Linked DNA regions of Stegostoma tigrinum. The protein of the gene in region 1 purifies or fractionates together with the protein of each later gene. This does not show direct contact. Links are inferred from orthologs where the notes say so. Each region holds a gene or a part of one and is shown on either strand. Other genes may lie near its edges.

Region 1 (7,719 bases):
CTACACTCACCTCTACTGACTCCATCCCCGCCTCTAACTTCTGTCTCATCTCCACCTATCTTCTCCTCTATCCATCTTTTATCTGCCTCCCCCTCTCTCTCTCCCCCTTTTCTGAAGAAGAGTCTAGGCCCAAAACATCAGCATTTGTGTTCCTAAGATGCTGCTTGGCCTGCTGTGTTCATCCAGCTCCACACTCTTATCTCTTGACAAAATATGGTGTTGTGCAGAAGCCGGTTCAGACAGCAATTAACAAAAACCACCACAAAGATTCACTCCCACTACCTGTAACACAGTGGCAATAGTGTGGATCATCTACAGGACGCACTGAAACAACTCACCCAGGTTCCTGTGATAGCTCCTTCCAAATCTGCATCTTTCTAGGTAATAGAGGTCAAGGACAAAAAAATACATAGGAGCACCTTTGATCATCAGCTGCAGGTCCCCCTTTGAGCCTCAGGCCATTGAGAGTTGGAAATTCATCAGCATTCATTCGGGTAAAATCCTGGAATTTCCTTCTCTAACAGCACTGCGTGTACCGGAACATCATGTACTACAGCGACTTGACAATGCAGCTCATCACTACCACCAAGGGAAATCAGGGATGGGCAACAGATGCTGGCATAGCCAGTGAGGTTCACTTCCAATGAATGGATAAAAAGAGAAAAGTCAATATTAGGTGAGGAACAAAAAGCTTGGTCAAACCGATAAGATTTAAGGAGTGCACGAGAAGATGGCGAAGGCAGAAACAAAAAAGGCTTAGAAAGGAAAATCCAGAATTTAGGGTCTAAAAAGCCAAAGGCTCAGCCATGAAGGCACGTTCAAGAAGAATACAATGTTAGTGAAGGGCTGTAAAGATAGAATAAACAATAGAGGTAATGGGTACAGCATCACACAGGGAGTTAATCAGTGAGATTTTTTCAGAGGTCTTAGGACTACAGAACAATATATAAATGTTAGGAAATGAAACAAATGAATGGAACTTGGTGCAAAGCATTGGTACAATCAGGTGTGGAGGTACTAAAATACATGAAGTTGGGAAGCAGTGAAAATGGAAGATTACAGTCTTGAAATTTCCAGTGTTTAACTGGGCTCGATGCCAGGCAAGCAGACAGGGAGCACATGATGAAGTGCAAAAGACTGACAAGAGACATGACCCTCTGTCACAGAATACAAAACTAAATTAGCTTTAAGAGCCATGCCTGTCCTTCATTTTAAAATGGTTAGAAGATCAATCCCTCAACCCATCAGTCCTATTATTTGTCCAGCAGTGACAGACATGAGTTGCTACACCTGCTGGGAAACAAGAGCTATACATGTCATGAATACATCATACGATCTGTTTCACCCAATCACAACATTATCACAATATATTAAAATAAAATGTTATTAACATAAAAGAATCTCAATTACAACAAACAACTTGGTTCAGATAGTTGCAAATTCCAGTCTACATTCAGGAATTGGGCCAATATTACCACGCATTATTGAAGTAGCACTGTATGGTTAGAGGGGAGACCAATTTACCTCCTCCAGTTTACGATAAAAAGGTCGCGTGATATTATTCAAAGACAAAATACAATATTCTGGAGAACTAACGCCTTCAACCAAAAGCATAACAGCCATCACGGCAATTACTGCAACCTGTATTACATAACAGATACAGCAGACTTTTACTTTAAACTGCAAAGTTCTTCAATACAAGGTTGCTTTCCTCCCACAAATGCCACAAACAACTTTGATATATAATGCAAGATCCCCTGTGGTGCACAAAGTTCATTTTAATTCTTGAAAAAAAAGGCCAATTTTTGTTTTGTTTTGGAAGGGGGGAGGAGTGATGAGAGAAATTACCAACTCGTTAAATCTTAAAATCCTAGATTAACACTTAAGTAAACGTGTGCATCATCGCGGCGATTAAAGGGTTAAGAACATCAATACCTTCCGAAACAAAACAGTGACTGAAGAAATTCAATTCTCAAAACCACCAAATACACACTGACTAGGAAACACACTAAAGAACAGTAACACTCCATCACAGCACGTGGCCATGCAAGATGCTTCCCTGGAACTTTTAAAGTGGAAGTACTTCTGGAAGAAATATGGCAACACACGCGGCATTTGAAAACAAAACAAAAAACTTATTCGAAGAGGTGCAATGAGGGTTAAAGCACACGAAAATTAAGAATTTCAGTCCCAAAATAGATATTCGCCTTGCACATCGTGATCACAATACTACTTGTTATTAAAAAATCATTTTAAATAGAATCTCTGCGTTCAAAAAGCCATTGCAATGAACATCCAGACCTCCTGTGTCTCAGTACCTGCTGCAGAGTTTCTGAATTTGCTCTCTGCCTCTGTTGCCATGTTGCTGGAAGGTCTGAGCCCTAGATCTCAGGGAGTGGAGTGTGTGTTTTCACAGGGAGTGACAGCGAGGGCTCACAGGGTGGTGTGCTGAGGGGGAACTGGAGTCTCAGGAAGTGCGAGACAGCGAGTGTTGTCTCCGAGTGTGGGCGGAGGCACTGATTTCCAATGGGAGAGTGGGCGGAGAGCTGCCTCGGGGAGGGCGAAGGGAGCGATTTCTCGGGGGGGGGGGAGAGAAGGTGTGTGGGTTTGGTTCGGTTCAGGAAGTGAAAGGTGATCGCTGTATCTGGGAGGGGTGGTCTTCATACGGTGATGGGGGCTGTTCCCCTCGGGGTGGAGGGTTTTGTCTCTGTTTCTTGTCCCTGTGGGGGAAGGGAGTTTTATCCCTATGGGGGTGGGGGGGAAGGGATTGTCTCGGGGTGGTGGGGGGTGTCCCTGTTGGGGGAGGGTTTTGTCCCGATGGGGGAACAGACAAGTTGTCTCACAGGGTGGGGGTTTTGACTCAGGAAGTGGGTGGGGTGGGTGACTGTTGAGGGGATGTGGAAGGAATTGTCTCGGGTAGGGGGGGTTTGTTCCTGTAGGGGAGGGGAGTAGTTTTCTCACGGGGGGGGTTTGTCCCTGTGGGAAAGGGGTTTATGGGTTGCTTTGTGCCTGTGTGGGTGAAGGGGGTTGTCTCGGGGGGGGGGGGAGGGAGAAGAGGTGTTTTGACCCTGTGGGGGGGGGGGAAGGGATTGTCTGACGGGGTGTGGGGGTTGTTTTGATCCTGTGGGGGGGAAGAGAGGGATTGTCTGACGGGGTGTGGGGGTTGTTTTGACCCTATGTGGGGGGGGGGAGGGATTGTCTGACGGGGTGTGGGGGTTGTTTTGACCCTGTGGGGGGAGGGATTGTCTGACGGGGTGTGGGGGTTGTTTTGACCCTGTGGGGGGAGGGATTGTCTGACGGGGTGTGGGGGTTGTTTTGACCCTATGTGGGGGGGGGAGGGATTGTCTGACGGGGTGTGGGGGTTGTTTTGACCCTGTGGGGGGAGGGATTGTCTGACGGGGTGTGGGGGTTGTTTTGACCCTGTGTGGGGGGTGAAGGGTTGTCTAAGGGACGATGGTTCCCCCGGGGCCTGTATCTTTCCCCCTGAACCCACACCCGCCCCCTCAGCGCCTCCCACTTGAAGGAAAACAAATCGGTTGTTTAATTTGAACGGAGCCCCTGAGGGAGGAGAATGACCCAGTGACTGGAATCCTGCGGCAGTTCCTCTCTCCGACCTCCGGGAATCCTCAGGCGGCGGCGATCCTACCCCCGGGCTCGGGCACTCCTCTGGAGCGCAACCCCCCTTCCAGTCGCTTCGAATTGTTCCCCCCCCCCCTTGGGACACGTGGCTAGCAACAGCATTGTTCATTCGCCACCTTCGCCTCAGGTCCGACCAATGGCAGCCAGGTCCATTCGACGGCGGCCGGCCCAACGACCAATCAACGCCAAGTACTGTTCGGCTCCCCCTCAATCCGAGGCTAGTCTCAGTGCTGCCACCTGCCTTGGAGGTCCTGCCCGATGGTCTCCCAGCGAAAGGTAATGGGAGCTGCAGATGCTGGTGAATCCGAGATAACAAAGTGCTCCTGAGATGCTGCTTGGCCTGCTGTGTTCATCCAGCCTCACATTTTATTATCTTGGAATCTCCAGCATCTGCAGTTCCCATTATCTCTGATAACAAAGTGTAGAGCTGGATGAACACAGCAGGCCAAGCAGCATCTTAGGAGCACAAAAGCTGACGTTTCCTATTCCCTCCCTAACTCTCCACCTACACTCACCGTTACTGGCTCCATCCCCGCCTCTTTGTCTCCTCTCCACCTATCTTCTCCTCTATCCATCTTCGATCCGCCTCCCCCTCTCTCCCTATTTATTTCAGAACCCTCTCTCCCTTCCCCTTTTCTGATGAAGGTTCTTGGCCGGAAGCATCAGCTTTCCTGCTCCTAAGATGCTGCTTGACCTGCTGTGTTCATCCAGCTCTACACCTTGTTATCTTGGTCTCCCAGCTAGGATCCATGGCTGGGTGCACTCAGTGCTGGCTCCTGGTTTATAGGACATCCTCAGAGGACTCATGCTGCCACCCTTCTCAGATGTGATGTCAGGCGTGCAATGCCTTGCCTGTCAGACATTGGGAGATGTAATTATCATTTGGATCATCTGGTTCCTCAGGAAAGGAGAAGTAAACCAAACGGAATTCTTTAGTGAGGTGCCGGTTAATACTCCACTTGGTTTTAGGGAGGGTGTCACAGTGACTGGGTCTGCTGTGGTTGACATCTCATTCTCCAGCACCAGGCCTGTAATCCTTTAGTCTGTGTGTGTGTTATTCATCTCAAAATGTTTTTACACCCTCTCATTGCCTCAAAATACATGCTAATAGTTTTCTGCATGATTTGCAAATACTTTTGATTTTGTAACTATAGGAAGGCTGTGAGAAATGTCAAAATTCTGATGTTTTGCTTTTTCTCTGTAAAGACTGTACACAGCTGATTTAAAAACTTTGTATGTACCTACAGATGATTTTTAAAATGAATAAGGTACATTTGGGCAAAAAAATCTTGAGGGTTTCTGCATCAACCATCAGTCAGTTCCAGATTCCCACCACCGTAGATGAAAATATTTTCCTACTTAAATCTTCTCTAAACCACCTGCTCCTTTCCTTAAAAACTGTGCCCCCAGTTTCTGATCCCTGGACTAAGGGAAAACATTTCTCCTTACCGTCCCGTGTGTGCCCCTTAAAACTTTGTACACCTCAGTCAGATTCCCCTCAGCCCTCCCTGCTCTAAACCGGCTGCTTGTCTGTCCCAGTCTCTCTGGATCTCTCCATCCCAGGGAACCTCCTAGTGAATCTCCTCTGCACCCTGTCCAGTGCAATCACATCCTTCCTATAGAGCAGCAACCAGACCTGCACACAGTACTCCAGCAGTGGCCGAACATTACATACAGCTCCATCATTATCTCCTCACTCTTGTTTTTAGTGCCTTGACTCATTAAGGCAAGTGTCTTACATACCTTTTGTTGTGGCGCAGTGGTAGTGTCCCTGGCTCTGAGCCATGAGCCTGGGGTCCCAATTCTGCCTGCTCCAGAGGTATGCCATAACAAACCTGAACTGGATGATTAAAAACATTTCCCACATGCCATTCTAGTTGAGAGAATGAAGAGAAGATTTCAATTCTTACTAGAATGGCAGCAAATAGAAGGACTTCAATGGTGTGGGAAGACCAGAGAAGCTGGAATTTTTAAAAAAAACCACACAGACTGCTTCAAATGCTCAGGAAGTCAGACAGTACCTGGAGAAAAACAGTGAATGTTGCACGATGATAATCTGTACTGTCCCACTTGAGTTTGTACCCTGGTCCAAAAAAAATCAGAAAATCATAATTGTCACAATCCAGAAGGAAGTCATTGAGCCCATTGAGCTGAAACAAAACAAAACAGAAGTTGCTGGAGAAAGCTCATAGGACTCCAAACATTAACATGGTTTTCTCTCAGGATGCTGCCAGACCTGCTGAGTTTCTCCAGCAGTTTCTGTCACTGCTGGAGTGTTCACTTGCTAACGAATATGGCTTATGGGCTTCAAATGGGTATGACAGGTCAGCACAACATCGAGGGCCGATTATGATAATCATCAACTATTATTTGCTGTATCCAAATTATTACATTGCTCGCAACCAAAAGATGTGTGAACCAGCTTGCCACCACCATTTGCTTAAAGAAGTTTTACTTCTGTCTGCTATAAACTCTTACCTTAAATCAATGTGTGCTGTAATGTCCTATGTTCTATGAGCAGTGCTTGAAAACTTTGACAATAGGTCACACCCAAATAATATCCCTAACCAGGATTACAGGAGGCAGTCAGAATAAAACTCACAATATTTTATGGTATCCAGCATACCTCTTCTGATTACATGAAACAACTGCAGGTCATTACTGGTTCATACTTTTCCCCAAACTGCCTTAACTTTTCCACGTTATCCCTGCTTTTCCTTTGTTCCTATCTTGGCCCTATCTCTGTACATTCACTACAGGCTTGCAAACCCTTGATAGGCATCAGGATAATTCATTGGTACTGGCAAGTGAGCTGATTTATCAATTTATTTATTTATTTGAGCTGATGTCCAAGGGTGAATTTATTTCCGTTCTTGGATCCCTTTTTCAGGCATGTTACTGTTGAGCACTGCTGTGTTGATTGTGCAGCCTTTGGGATATCCAGTTGCTACATTGAGAGGCAATATGCCAATGCAGGCTGTTTCTTTCTTGTTTTAATTTCCTGTCAATGTCCACTGGTACCATTGAAGAGTATTCAGCAGACATTGAAAGCCAGATTTTATCTGCCAATGGGCAACCATGCCAGAGAGTTAATGTCCTGCTCTTCAAACAGAAAAATATCCAGTTGACTGTAATACCCAGGCCTGATTTATGTTCCAGCAAATTAATTAAAAATGGTTAAAATCTCATCTGAATTTTTTTATTGCAACAGCCTACTGTGAAGCCTCAATTGAAGAGCTGACCTATAGGATACCTATCAATTGTTCACAAATTACTTCATTGTCCACTGCCATTTCCCAAATAGATATTGTGCTCGAATCCTGTTGAATCTAAACAACTAGATTATTAGCAACACAAATTCTCCATAATTAACTCAGCATTTCACATTGGCTTTTTCATCACCCACTTTCCAAATTGCGCTTGAGCATTGTTTGGGAATTATAATTCCTCATGCTCAGACAGGTCTTGGCCTTGCTGCAGGCAGTTGAAAGCATCTAGTGTTTTCTCAGAGATAGAAAGAACTGCTGATCCTGGAGTCAGAGATAACACAGCGTGGAGCTGGAGGAACACAGCAGGCCAGGCAGCATCAGAGAAAAGTATGCAGGCACTGCTCACATCTTTCATGGCCAAGAACATCTGCTTTCCTGCTCCTCTGATGCTGCCTGGCCTGCTATGTTCCTCCAGCTCCACACTGTGTTATCTTGCGTTCACTCAGTGTTGCTTTGAACTAAATGTGCCATAAGTAGAAGAATCCAAACTAAGTAAACAAGCCCATATAGTCACGGAAATAATTAACTCAGAACCAAAGAAACCTACAGCACAGGAACAGGCCCTTTGGACCTCCAAGCCTACGCCGATCAAGATCCTCTGTCTAACCTGTCATCTATTTTCTAACGGTCTGTATCCCTTTCCTCCCTGCCCATCCATGTACCTGTCCAAATATATCTTAAAAGACACTATCGTGTCTGCGTCTACCACCTCCGCTGGCAACGCGTTCCAGGCGCCCACCACCCTCTGTGTAAAGAACTTTCCACGCATATCTCCCTTAAACTTTCCTCCTCTCACTTTGAACTCATGACC
Region 2 (7,805 bases), on another chromosome or scaffold:
GGTGATTATGTAGACTTCAATTAAAACGCTGTAAAGCTAACCAACTAATCAAGTTGTTTAAGAGCAAATTACTGCAGATGATGGAATCTGAACAAAAACAAAAAAATGCTGGCGATCTCGGCAGGTCAGGCAGCATCCATGGACAGAAGGCAAGCTAACATTTCAAGTCTAGCTGACTCTTCATCAGAGCTGATGAAGAGTCATCGAAACTCAAAATGTTAGCCTGCTTTCTCTCCATGGATGCAGCCTGACCTGCTGTAAGTCAAGTTGTTTACCAGGTAGCTCATTTCAAACTTGTTTCACTTTTTGGAAAAAAGATAGATATATTACTAGACGAACAGAACTGCTAACAGCTGTAATGTTTAAACTCACTTTTATTTCTACTGTTCAAATATGTAGCGCATTATTTTGAGTTATCTAAATTTGCCTACTTGAAACCTGGCATGAAGTTCTTTGGTATGATGCAGGAGACCTATATATTTGGATTATTTCAGTGGTGAATATTTGACACTAATTCCAAACAAAATTAGACAACAGATCAATTCAGGCAAGTTCTTTACCAAAATAGAAGGCCATAATAAATGCAAGTGTCAAGTGCATTTTAATTTAGACTCAATTCCAATGGCTATTGCCACTTCCAAAAATCTCAGACTGCACACAACTGATAAAAAACAGAAGACACCTGAGGCAACACTGTGATATCAGTATTAAGAAGTCTCATTTCTTCTACCAGACACACAACGTTCTCTCATGTATACACTACGAGACGATTATTAAACCTTACAGCCTGTTACTGCAGTGCAGAGAGAAAACGCACAAACTGTAATGAACACCAAAACCACACCCACTGCCAGGGAGCAGCAGAGTCCATGTGAAAATGTCATATGAAATGTGACTATTGTGATCTTTGTATATGCATTGATATTTGCCACACATTCTCAAATCATTTAATTTTTCATGTATGCAAACTGCTTTACATCTCCATATTTTGCATAACATCCACATCAAATCAAATGTCACAGCATTCATTTCAAACTTACAGTCAATCCAAAACCCATATCGTATTGATGATATGCCCCCTTATAACTTGATAACTAAGTGTTTTTGTACTTGAATTAACACAGACTTTTTCAGTGGCAGGGTCAAATCAGATGAGAAATTATTAGTATTTACAGTGGTGAAGGGCAGATTTCAAATATCTAAAGTACTTGCCCTCACCATTTAGTGAGAAACTTGGGTATTAATTCACAACACAATTTCATAAATACAACTAAACGCTCAATGATTTTTACACGTTTCGCTAGCAGCAATCGGGCATTTCAGTCAATAAACTTTCTTACTATGTGTTTCAAAAGTAAGTTTAATCTCGAATGATAATTGAACGTTGCAATGCATTATCTCTATCTACCCACACTTGCCCCACCCCCAAAAAGCAATCCTTTTCCTCGAAAACATAAGGATCGGGTCTTCAAACTGAAAGCAGACATCGGGGGCTATAAACAGGAATTGACTCAGCACTTTCTAAAACTTGCTATTCGTATCCTTCATGTTAGTAGCTTTAAAATTAAATAAATCTGTTCCAACACTTTCCCATTACGCCATCCTTCAAAGTTGCTACTACTTATTAAACGTAATTCCCAAAGATGGTTAAAACTTCAATGCACTTCCGTTTTTGAAAAAATCCGAGCCCTCACTTTTTTTTTAAATGGTCACATGGCGATCTTTCCTCAGTGTTGAGTGAATATCTATATATAGTTAAAGATTAAGGAAGAGTTTGCAACAGCGGAGTGCGATGATGTTTGTGCAGTAAGAGCCGGCAGCACTCAACCGTGTGGGGAGGTGACAGTGACTCACTCGCTTGCGCTATGCCTCGGAGACCAACCAACAGCCGCACATGGTTCCTCTTTTACCGGCTTTTTCCCTCCTCCCCCTCCAGCACAAACGTGTCATTTCAGACTCAGGCTACAAACGCGCTAACACCCTACACACGCGCGGCAGAAATATTAATGCAAATACTAATATATACAATATACAGCTAGAGTCAAAGCCCGGCCGGTGTCTTCCCCAACTCCCCCACCCCCCACCCACGACACTCTGAGCCTGGGGCGGGGGTTACATTCCACCCCAGGGCAGCGACGTAGCTTCCATATGGTCAAGGGCCTTACTACCAAAAGCAAGCACAACCGAGAAACAGAAGTTAAAACCCAGACTTTGGTTTTAGCCAGTCCCTCACCTCTCCCACTAAAAACTTCAAAATGACATGAGACTCTTGTAGGCTGGGGCCTCCTCTCCCTTGGCTGCAGAGGGAGAGAGGGGTGGCTCAGGCTGGACGGCCTGCTCTCTCCCCGTCTTTTTCCAGAAGCCGGGGAAAACCAGTATGGGGGGGGAGGGAGAGGAGAGAGACTGGGGCCTGGCTGCCACTCAACCCGGGCTTTAGGGAGTGGTGGGGCTAAAAGGCTATGGCCTTCACCCCAACCCCAACCCCAACCCCAACCGAGTGGCGCCGGCCGCGGGCTTGAAAGCGACTCGATATTCCCAGGAATCGGGAGGTGGAGATGATGGGGAGGAATATGCTGAGGCCGCTGTTGCCTGCCCCCCCAGTTAGAGAGAGGGGTTTCTCTCCCTCTCTCTCTCTATATAGCCGTTCCTTCACCTTCCCTCCCCTTTCCTGCAGCCCCAGCCCTGGGTGTCAGCAGAAACACGTCAGGCCACCCCTTACCCGGGAAGGACTGGGCTCCTCCTCAAGGTGTAAGTGTTTTTTTTCTTTCCTCCCTTCTTCTGTCCTGTGAATCAGAAAAATAAAACAATCAGGCCGAAGCACAGAAGGCAGGACAGCCACCGGGCCAGTCAGCAGTGACTGCTTGCAGTCTCCATGCCGAGGATGGAGACGGATAATAAAAAGCGGCCCAGTAATGGCGTACCTTCGTCCTCAGTCCGCACAGCCGGACGATCGGCTACTTTCGGAGATTTCCGCCTCTAGGGTTCCGGAAAGGACACGTGACACCGCCAGGGAGAGGGCAGCCGCGATTCACTCCTAAATCACAAGCACTTAGGTTTAATATTGTTGCAATAACACATTCTCTTCCACAGTTCCAAAGCATGCACGCACCACCCGGCTGGTGTTTCCTTGCCTGCCCCCAAACCCCGCCCCTCCCCGAAATTTAACAGTTTTGTGGCGAGCAAATTATCCTATTTCTTCGAGAAATGTCCGGAACTGTACTTCATATTCAATGAATTACTTGGAGGTGTAGATACTGACGGCACACCACTCCCCACAAGAAAAAAAACAAACAGTAGTTGCGTTATGTAAAAGTTTACGTTTATGTAAAGCAACATGAAGAGCCAACTCGCATACAATCCAGTAGACAGGTCAGGGAAACTCAGTTGAGCACCCTAATGCCATGTAGAAATTTGCTCATTGTAGAATCTCTGAGCCCACAGACTCGAACAAAGTGATATCAAATAATCTGATATAGACAAGTATTAACATAAATTTCAGAAACATCTAAAGGGCATGATATGAAAATATAACTGCTAATGCAAAAAAAATCTGCTGGAGATCACAGCTGGTCAGACAGCGTTTTTCAATCTAGTTAACAATTCACCAGAGCTAATACAAATTCTGTTTAAAAAAAATAATTTAAACAATCTCTATAGCTTGTGGGCTGACAGAGTGGGAAGTCAAATTATTACAGAGTCAGAGGAGATATCTTACACAATTTGTTTCCCTTTTTCTCCATGGGTAGGAAATAGTCCCAACCTGTCCTGATCCAAATGAAAGACTAAGTTGAGAACATGTTATGAGAATTTCCAAGTTCACATACACTTGTGTAAAACAGTACATGAAGGTAAGGGTGCATGACAGGCCCCACCCCACACAGAGTGCCTTACAATTATCTTGCAAAATGCATCAATAATATTTCCCAACACTGTTCCATATGCAACTCAGCAACCTTTGTAGCAAAGCATGCATGATACAATATAACAAAGTATGAAGCTGGATGAACACAGCAGGCCAAGCAGCATCTCAGGAGCACAAAAGCTGACGTTTCGGGCCTATACCCATCACCAGCATCTGCAGTTCCCATTATCTCTTATCCATGATACAATATAGCCACTATGAGCCATTCAATGGTATCAAACAAGCAAAGAGCAAGTTATAAAGACATTATAACATGGTTATATTCAGTCTCTTAGTGAAGGGATCATAATCAATGTATTATATCAGGGCATTATACTGAGTAGCTACTGTCTTTATTCACAGTGTGCAGAAGTCAATTTCTGCATAGAGCAAGTTCAGCATGGCAAGAAAGACTTATTTGTATCAGGAATTGTTCGCAGAATTCACCCTTGCACTGTAATTGATTAAACCCAAAAATGATATATCAGGTTGTACTGCTCCTAAATGACACTGGAGAAATCTTCAGAGTACATCAGAATAATGTGTTAAAAGCTACAACACATATATAGATTAGTTAGTAACTAGGTATTCTCACTCTTTTCCATCACAGTCTGTACATTGGAACTGAAAAGGTCTTTCTGATAAGAGGAATTGCTTGTTCTTAACAAGAATTTAGTCTCATTAAACAAATGGGGAGTATTTACATATTTACATTATTTACAAGTTTCCTTATCCAAAGTGAAAATATTTTTAATTATGTCACAATGTACCAATCTGATGTCAGCAGCTTTCTCATGACATCATAAAGTCACTCAACTGCCTTCATAGTTTAAATTTTAAAAAGTTAATAATTATAAACAATTGTTATTTATGTAATATGCTCAGGTATGTTTTAAGTAAGAAGGAATGAACATTATTAAATACATTTTGGTGCAGCCTGTATCAACATATCCCAATTCCTACATTCTGAGTACTGTAATTTTCTGCAAAGAAATATAAAAGGATCATATGATACATCCATCTGTGTCATGATGAATATCTTCACGAGTGAGGTGTATGGAATAATATTTATGAGTGGGTTGTGATCAGACTTGTGAACAAGTGTATTTATCATACCATACTGCAGCCCCTAGGGTATGTTCTACTTTATAAAATTGCAAGACTTTTTCAACTAAAAAGATGAATTTGGATAATTTTGTAGGACAGAAAAAGCAATTCCGGCAGCTTTGTGATGTAACTTGTCATTCTGATGTCATTACAATAAAATAAGATTCACTTAAATGTCAATTGAGCCTCAGTTGGTGGTACTTCCACGTGAAGGCTCTGAGTTCAGGTCTTACTCCAAAACCTACAGCACAAAACTTAGATCTGTTCTCTAGTGAAGCAGTGAGGCATTTTTAATTGTTGGACGTGCCACCTTCAAGTTGAGGTGTTAAACTTAAGCCTCAACTCAACTCTCTGGTGGATGGTACAGATTTCGTGCTATTATTTGAAGAAAGATCATGTGAGATTTCCCCATTCTCAGCCAACGTTCTTTCCTCAACTAACATCATTTCTAAAAGCAGTTTAACTGGTCATTATAATTTTGATATTTGAATCTTGTTGTATCTTAAATGCTGTATTTGCTACATTACAACATTGGTGACACTTAAAATTTCATTGGCTATAAAACACTTGAGATTTCATACAAGGTGTGAGTCTCTGTTAAGTAGAAGCTTTATCAGCATGTCGTGAAATGAAATAACTACCTCCACAGAGGACTGATTTACCAAGTGTTATGATGCTCCTGTGAAATGCTTGGGACATTTAGGATCTAAAAGACCATAAAGTCATGCAGTCATACACCATGGAAAGAGACTCTTCAGTCCAAACATTCCATGCCAACCCAAATCCCAAATAAACTATACCTACCTGCCCGTGCTTGGCCCATATCCTTCCAAATATTTGTTGTTCACTTACTTATCCAATTGTATTTTAAACACTAACTGTACCCGCATTCATTAGTTCCTGTGGAAGTTCATTCCACACATGAACCACTCTCTGTGTGAAAAAGTGGCCCCTCATGTCTTTTTTAAAATTGTTTTCCTCTCACCTTAAAAATATGTTCCCCAGTATTGAAATATACAACCCTTGGGAAAAGACACCTGCCTTCACCTTATCTATATACCCTTCTTGATTTTATAAACCTCTGTAAGGTGAATTGAATTGAGTCAGCCTTTATTGTCATGTGCACTCAGATGAATGAAGTGAAAAGTTTGTAATGTCAACTCTTTTGGTGCCATTTTAGGTACAGAGTACCTAGGGACAGAATTCTTAAGTACGCGTTAAAGACATGAAAGAATCATATATAAAAGTGCAGCACAAGAATAAGAATGTTTTCGTTTATAAAGTACTCAAATTGTAGTCTTTCCACCAAGCACCCAACCTTCAGCCTGCCCAGGCGAAGTCTCCAGATCACGCTGAGCTTCAAACCTCGAGATCTTGCTTCCATTTCCCAAAGGCCTCACCTCCACTCCAGGACTCACCGTTCCAGTGCTAGACTCAGTATACCTCGCTTCCTACACTCGAATGAAAGATGTCCCAGCCTCTCCTCATAACTCTTACCCTCCATTCTTGGTAACATCCTGGTAGATATTTTCTGAACCATCTCCAGCTTAATAATATCTTCCCGATAATAGGGCAACAGTACTGGACACAGTACTCCAAAAGAGGCTCCACCAATGTTCTGTACAACCTCAATGTGACATCCCAACCCCTATACTCAAACTTCTGAGTAATAAAGGCAAGCATGCTAAACATCTTCTTAACCAGCCTGTCCACATGTGACACAAACTTCAGAGAACCAAGGTGCCTGAAGCCCTGGTTCTCATTGTTCTACAACACAATCCAAGCCCCGACTTTTAATTGTATAAGTCCTGCCCTTATTTGTTTTTCCAAAGTGCAATACCTCAAATTTTTCCAAATTAAACTCAATTTGCTACTCCTCAGCCCAAATTGATTTTGTTGTTTTTGGGTTCACTGTCAAAAGTGGGTTCAGATCTATTTCATAATTATGCAGACAAATTGTCATTTAAAAAGCCAGTCATGGCACATTTTAGTTTTGATATTTTGGCTATGCTTCTACAGAAATGATTTTAATAACATAAAATTGTATTAACTGTGTAGAATGCATTTTTAACCCAAAACAATTCAGTCTTTCACTTTTCTACTGTAATATGGTGACAGAGGGAAAAAGAAGTTTATTTTGATTGATATTTCTGTCAGCAAGCATTTTTTCAACATTCCTCTTTCAACATATTCAGAATCCTCAGGGACTAAGCAAATATAATAAACAAGTATCTCAAACTTACAGGAAAAGAAAGACTAAAATGCAATGGCCACTCTCTGCTGAATTATATCATTTCAACAGGTCACAATGATAGAGGGCTTTACACACTGACGGCAGGGGCTGTTGTGGTGCAGTGGTAGTATCCTGCCCCTGAACCAAGAGGCTTTGTTTCAAGTGCCCACTTGCTACAGTGGTACATAAGAACATCTCTGAACAGGTTGTGTAAAAGTATTCACAATTAGCTGCAGCTGGCACCCCAACATAGGGTACCTTTTCCCTTTCCAATGACCAACCCTAAAGTACATATGGTGATACACCAATATTATGCTAAATTTTGATGCTATTCACAATGAAATAGCTTCCTGATAGTTACTCGCAATGTCAGGGGTTTTGAAATGTTTTGATGTCAAGGGAACTTTACAAGTACCAGCATGCTACGAAGTACTGTTTGTCCTGATTTCCAAACTATCAGTACGTATCCCAAAATACTCAGAGAGCAAATTGAATTGTAAGCTAACCAAGTGTGGAGCTGGATGAACACAGCAGGCCAAGCAGCATCTCAGGAGCACAAAGGCT

Evidence for each region. Proteins that work in one complex are often made in the same cells at the same time.
Region 2: the proteins of pdcd4b (region 1) and eif4g1a purify together in Homo sapiens (affinity purification with western blotting; 3 studies listed by BioGRID and IntAct, with this or other methods). This does not show direct contact. The link is inferred for Stegostoma tigrinum from reciprocal best matches to the Homo sapiens genes PDCD4 and EIF4G1.

Annotation. Positions count from the first base shown.
Region 1 is NC_081373.1:2,184,852-2,192,570, forward strand, and holds the start of pdcd4b (programmed cell death protein 4b), read right to left. Parts: upstream 3,008-7,719; 5' UTR 2,362-3,007; coding exon 2,319-2,361; intron 1-2,318. UniProt on the Homo sapiens protein: Inhibits translation initiation and cap-dependent translation. May excert its function by hindering the interaction between EIF4A1 and EIF4G. Inhibits the helicase activity of EIF4A. Modulates the activation of JUN kinase.
Region 2 is NC_081367.1:44,939,526-44,947,330, forward strand, and holds the start of eif4g1a (eukaryotic translation initiation factor 4 gamma 1a), read right to left. Parts: upstream 3,005-7,805; 5' UTR 2,922-3,004; intron 2,784-2,921; 5' UTR 2,720-2,783; intron 1-2,719.